Linked DNA regions of Callithrix jacchus. The protein of the gene in region 1 binds, or shares a complex with, the protein of each later gene. Links are inferred from orthologs where the notes say so. Each region holds a gene or a part of one and is shown on either strand. Other genes may lie near its edges.

Region 1 (3,651 bases):
GGACTAGACTAACAAAAATGCAGATTGCTATGCAAACAATGATGTCTGTGATGAGTGCATGTGCAAAGGGAAGCTTAAGCCCACCCTCAGCTTGTCTCCAAAGCATTCTCAATTGAAACCCACAATGCTGGGTTATCTGCCTGGAGAAGACTGACCAATACACAGATGGGGCAGAGAATACTGGGGGCGGAGGAGGCCTTTCCCAAGACAACCAGTGACAAGCTATATACTAACAAATCTAGCTTCCCTCTGATTGCTAGTCCTGGGTAAACAGAGTGCATGGAGCTGAGTTACCTGATGGTAAGTCTGGAAGATCATACAGACAGCGCAGTGAGGGGCCTGCTGGGCCATGGTCTCGTTGAATTCCTTCTCAGCCTCAAAGTTTGGAGGTCGGTTCTGCCATAGCTGGCTCAGAGGTTTGGCCCAGGCCTCTGTCTCCTCAGCCTCTTCCTCAGGGGTCAGCTGTTCAGATGTCTCTAGAGAAGGAAACAGAAATGTGAGTCAGCACCAGCCCTGCACACCTGTCGCTCTGCCTGGAGAGCAGATGAGTTCAACTAGGACTTCTGGTCCTAGGTTTTGACCAAGGGTGACTCCTGGATTCCTAAGGATGATAAAGGCAAAGGGTGGAAGCAATTGTCAATAGACTCCTTCAATATCTGGACGACGTGTGGGAAGTCCTGCCAGTACCCCATTCTCTGGCCAGACTGACTCATGGCCTCCATTCTTCCTCCTGCTCCACGAGCTCAGCTTGCTCTGCTCTCCCTTAACAGCTGCCACATTCAACCCCTCTGCCCAAGGACAGCAGAATGAACCACCATCTTGCCAGAAACTGTCTTACTTGCTGCCTCCAAAATGTCAGCATGTTAAGTCCTTTACCTTTTAGACTTTTCCCTTTAGAGCAACTAAACAAAGAAAGAAAATAAAGGAATGGGCAAAGCTGAGAAGTTGTAATATCATGGTCCTTGGACAGGACTTTCCAGCTGCCTCTGGAAAGATCAGGGGTAGTACCTATTCTGGACAAGGTTCCCTAACCGATCCTAGCTCTGCCTCAGAAGAAATCAGAGCTGCATGTTCAGAATGAATCCTCTTCCCAGCCACAAGATGTAATGTCCTGACGCTGGCAAACAATATCCTGCAGGCTGAATCCAGCCCACTCAGGAAGTTAAGAATTATTTTTACTTTTGGGGATGGAGTCTTGCTATGCTGCCCAGGCTGGAGTACAGTGGCTATTTACATGTGCAATCATAGCCCACCACAGCCTCAAACTCCTGGGCTCAAGTGATCCTCCCGCCAAAGCCTCCAAAGTAGCTCAGATAACAGGCATGTGCCACTGCACCCAGCTTTGTTTTTACATTTTCAGCATTGGGGCTTAAAAAAAAAAAGACAACCACAGAGACCAAGGAGGACTGTAAAGTCTAAAATATTTACTTCCTGGCCCTTCATATATCCCTGGTCATGACAGACTGTACCTCCTAGGTATGCTAGACAGCAGAGCATACAACTTATTGGACTTCACCAAGGCCTGGGAAAGAAAAATCCCCTCTGGGTGCATCTTCTTACAAGAAAGGGATATACAGCTGAGTAGAAAACAAAAAAAGTTTGCTCACAAAACTCATATAAATGATAAAGGTACACATTTCCCAGTTATTCCTCAATCGGTGAGACAGGCACAGTCTACAAGCTCCCAGCAGAAACAAGGAAACAGAAACAGGGAAGTAAAAGGAAATGCCAGAATTCTGAAGGTTATGAGTAAATGAGGACAGTCTTTAGTAGATGTCCAAAATGTTTCTCCAGATGCTCCACCATGCCGGGGAGGTATGAGAAGCTACAGTTGCTGTGCCCTTCTTTGCCAAGTGTGATCAAGCAAGGCCCAACTATGCAGCCCCTGATAGGAGACTGGCTCTGTGCCAGCCCCATCAGATGGGGCATTCCGAAGGATCACTGCATCTCGCTAGGAGTGGCATCATCAATCCCCTGCTATGACCCTCCAGTGATCTCGCTTCTTCCCAGACAGAAGTGCTTTCCCAGAAGCGGCCCTGAAATCTGTTCAAAGCAGCCATGGAGAGCTCTGCTCTGCATTAGGTTCCTTTTTTTTTCATTTCTGGCAACACCAGCTCAGTGCAGATAGTTTTCTACTCTGCCCTCAAAGTCGTGTTAAATCTAAAGGCATCTGGCATCTGCCATTGTGCGCCGCCTCAGTGTAGCCTAAGGACACCAATGCAGACAATTAAAATCAACCCCTATTTGCCCCATTGTTCAGTTGTAATCAGGAGCCAACGTACTTAGAACCCAAACAGATTTTTTTTCTTTATCCTGGCCAAACAGGAGTGACCAAGATAGAATGGAAGAAACAGAGACAAACAGACAGGCTCACACTCACAACTAAAAAATTAACACACTGACATCTGTTCCATTTACAAAGCCAAAAGTGACCCCAAATCATTACATTTGTGAATACTGAATGATGAGGGAAAATGTTCACTACATTAAGCGAAAATTTCAGGAAGCAAAATTATACAGTTTACATATGTAATACTTCATTGAGCTGTATAGTTCAAAGGTGTGCATCACTGAATTGTTATGCTTGAATTGAAATTTATTTTAAATTAGGGGGAGGCATAAACATTAAATAAACAGTTGCCCAATACAGTATGTGATCTTAGCTTGATTTATATTAGAGTTCAAAGGAAATAACTATAAAACACATTCTTGGCACAAGCAGGGAATGATGGGCATGGACTGAAGATGAAAGGATATTGTGGGGCCAGGCGTGGTGGCTCATGTGTGTAATCCCAGCACTCTGGGAGGCTGAAACGGTGAATCACTTGAGGTCAGAAGTTCAAGACCAGCCTGGCCAACATGGTGAAACCCCCATCTCTACTAAAGGATACAAAAATTGGCTGGGCATGGTAGCATGCACCTGTAATCCCAGCTACTTGGGAGGCTGAAGCAGGAGAATCACTTGAACCCAGGAGGCAGAGGTTGCAGTGAGCCAAGATCATGCCAGCTGTACTCCAGCCCGGGCAAGAGTGAGTGAGACTTCATCTCAAAATAAAAAAGTAGGGGAGGTTGTATATTATCTCAATTGCATTATTTCGTTATTTTAAAAAGATATACATGGACATATTCTAATATATGATTAGAAAAGTCAGGAGGATAGATAATATATTAATATATTCATAATGGTCATCTTTGAAGGGTAATTTTGTTTTCCTCTTGGTAACTTTTACAGTTTCCTAAAGTCTATATTGCTGTAAACCAATCAGGAGATAGGCTGGTGCTACCCAGAGAACCTGAAGCTCCTGTCTGGGTGGAATAAGAACATGGAAGGCTCCCTAGGACCTTACTCAGAGTCCTGCCACACTTCTGACTGGAGGGCAGAAGGGATGTTCCCCATCCAGTTTATCATGATCTTTCAACTTTAAAAAAAAAAAAAAAAAAAAAGCAGAGATGGGGCACTGATATCAGATCAGGAAGGAGAGGACCAGGTAGGACAGAGCCTGACATTAGTCAAGAGTTACAATTGATTCTGCTCTCCCTGAGGGTGCCAGGGCCCAGTCACAAACACAGCCAGAGCTGAGGCTCTGCAATGCTGATCTTCCTGAATCTCTGGGCTCCAGGAAGCACAGGAGACCACTCTCCTCTGATGTC
Region 2 (2,730 bases), on another chromosome or scaffold:
ATTAGGAGAGTTCACATTTTCTCCCTCACTCCTGTACTGTAGACTTGCTAATTGGGACATCCCCCAAAGTCTGGCAGCAAGCCCTTTATCCAGGTACCACGTTAGGGAACAAATCTTTTCTATAGTGACAGCTTCTGATCTTTATTGCAGTGGTCTCCCCAACCATTTGACATAAGAGCGCTTAGGCAATTGTGTCTGTACTACGCCCCTTATGTCCCGATACATACGCTTCTGCGGAGTGTAATACGTGGAAGTGGTATGTGTTCGTTTTCGGAGTGCCGGAGACCCAGTAAGCAAGCCTGAATAACCCAAACTGACTCTTCTCTATGCTATTATCTACCGGCCAGGTCCTCCTAGGCATGCCACAGATGGGCTGCGCTCCAGAATTCGAGAGCGCAATAAAACCGCGATGACGGCACTACACTCGAGCTTGGAAGACAGAATGCTCAAGACTTCGCATACTTAAAGACTTTACTTCTCTCCCTACCGGCTATCTCCCCGGGAGACCCCGCCCCTCCTTGGCGTGGTCTTTCTCCCAGCCACGCCCCCTGAGTGCAACAGCTCTTTTACTGAGATGGGTGGGTGGCTCTGAAAAGAGCCTTTGGGTTGTGTTGAGCTTCAAAGCAGTTGGCCAAAGTAACTTCTTACTTTTTCTTGGCTGCCGCCTTCTTTGGCTTGGCTGCCTTAGGCTTGGCGGTCTTTGGTTTAGCCGCCTTGGGTTTCACTGCTTTGGCCTTCGCTGGGCTCTTGGGCGCCTTTTTTGGCTTGGCTGCTTTCGCCTTTTTCGGGCTTTTCGCTTTTTTGGCTCCAGCAGCCGCAGCCGGCTTCTTCGCCTTCTTTGGGGTCTTCTTGGCGGTCTTCTTAGGGGTTGCTGCCCCCGTCGCCTTCTTAGGCTTCTTCGCCGCTCCCGTGGGCTTTTTTGCCTTCGCCGCGCCTGCCTTTTTAGCCTTAGGCTTGGCTTCCCCAGAGGCTGCCTTCTTGTTGAGTTTGAAGGACCCCGAAGCGCCGGTGCCCTTGGTCTGCACCAGGGTACCCTTGCTCACCAGGCTCTTGAGACCTAGCTTGATACGGCTGTTGTTCTTCTCCACGTCATAGCCAGCTGCTGCCAGCGCTTTCTTGAGAGCGGCCAAAGACACGCCGCTGCGCTCCTTGGAGGCGGCGACAGCCTTGGTAATGAGCTCGGACACCGGGGGCCCAGAAGCTTTGCGCTTAGCCGCACCTGCAGACTTGCGGGCCTTCTTCTTGACGGGTGCCTTCTCGGCAGGGGCCGGAGCAGCGGGCGCGGCAGGCGCAGTCTCGGACATGTTGAAGGCAGGCGTGAGAGAGAGCAATTCGAGCCGGAAGCAGAGGCACTGGCCGGGACTCGGGCCGCGGCGCTGCGCCCGCCCGTTTATATAGGGCGGAGCTGCGCCGTGATTGGTGCGCTGTCCAGCCCGCCTCGCTGGCAGCCGCAGAGTGTCCTCTCGGATCCCGAGTTGTGTTTGTTACACCTCAAAAAAAGCCAAAAATATAAAAATTGTCTACACCGAACTGCCCGATTTTTCTCAGATAATGATCCCCGAAGCCTCAGGCTTCACGCAGATCTCAAATTATGAGGAAAGCACAAAGCCTTGTGCCAAAAACTTGCAATATTTCCCACCGTGCTTGGCAAATTTCAACTCAGAGAAACAAAACTTTCTATTTTCTTCGTAAATTACAAACCGATCTTTAACTGTGGAGTTTTCTGACCTCTCAAATATGATTCTCCAAGTGGTTAGCTTCTTATATGTCCAAAAAGCATGCCACTGGCATTGAGATTTTTATTACAAATCTGCACTTAAGTGAGGGAAGTAACACAGGCTCCTCGGAGAGTCCTGCCTATTGAGCCGAGGGCATTTGAGTTCATCAAACTGATTTACTTTAATGCCAAACAAATTATTGCCCATTTGGGATTAAGTTTTGGACCCCTGGGACATCATTCTATGCAGCCATGATTTTACTTCTGTCCGCTACACCTGAGTTTTTAAACAATTCCTTTGGATAATTCTTTCCCTTTCTGCTCCCAAGGGTTGGGGGCGGGGCTGTTGCTTCTCTCTTCCCCTGGACAACTGCTCCATGGATTGAGATACCTTGAATTCGGGGTATTTGGGACCGAAGGGAAGTCCAAAATATACTCAGGGTACAGAGATGAAAAAGGATTAATTTTTAAATGTGATGTTCATAAAGTCACTGGAAGTGGAGGTGCACTTTAAAGAAATTGTCTGCAGCCTTGCTGAATGCTTTTGGCATATGCTTCAGAACCAAATTGCAATAAGGTATTTTAGAGCCGAAATTCAAGAGCTGATGATGAGGGAAAATAAATAAGAAGAGTAGACTGAAACAGATCTACTCCCATTATTAGAGAAACCCAGCCCCTATTATTACTGAATAGTTGAGGAATGACTAGTCCACTTACCATGCATGGTTTCAATTTCCCTGAAGACTGTGTCCCAATGTTTCCCAGAGTGCATAGAAAGAAAAATAAGTGACATATAGTAATTAAATGATAAGTTCAAATTTCAATCTCAGATTTAGAGCTTTGAGAGTCTATCTAAGCTACTATAAATCATTGCTCTCTGTAAACATCCTTTGAACAATGTGTGAAAGAGTGAATTTCTTTAGGTAGTTGCCCAACCAAGAAAAGTGTCCGTACGTTGGCAATGAAAGCATCATTAAAAGAATTATTCTATAAAACGGTATGGCTGGAACAGT

What was found. Proteins that work in one complex are often made in the same cells at the same time.
Region 2: the proteins of KDM4A (region 1) and H1-4 are in contact, whole or in part, in a crystal structure (PDB 6H8P), measured with the Homo sapiens proteins. The link is inferred for Callithrix jacchus from reciprocal best matches to the Homo sapiens genes KDM4A and H1-4. Residues at the interface, in NP_055478.2 of Homo sapiens: Ile71, Asn86, Ala134, Asp135, Asn137, Thr167, Ile168, Glu169, Gly170, Val171, Tyr175, Tyr177, Glu190, Asp191, Ser196, His240, Lys241, Ser288, Thr289, Asn290, Asp311, Met312, Val313; in NP_005312.1 of Homo sapiens: Ala24, Arg25, Lys26, Ser27, Ala28, Gly29.

The regions. Positions count from the first base shown.
Region 1 is NC_133508.1:80,339,500-80,343,150, reverse strand, and holds part of KDM4A (lysine-specific demethylase 4A), read right to left. Parts: intron 477-3,651; coding exon 295-476; intron 1-294. UniProt on the Homo sapiens protein: Histone demethylase that specifically demethylates 'Lys-9' and 'Lys-36' residues of histone H3, thereby playing a central role in histone code. Does not demethylate histone H3 'Lys-4', H3 'Lys-27' nor H4 'Lys-20'.
Region 2 is NC_133505.1:4,582,512-4,585,241, forward strand, and holds H1-4 (histone H1.4), read right to left. Parts: upstream 1,366-2,730; 5' UTR 1,305-1,365; coding exon 645-1,304; 3' UTR 535-644; downstream 1-534. UniProt on the Homo sapiens protein: Histone H1 protein binds to linker DNA between nucleosomes forming the macromolecular structure known as the chromatin fiber. Histones H1 are necessary for the condensation of nucleosome chains into higher-order structured fibers.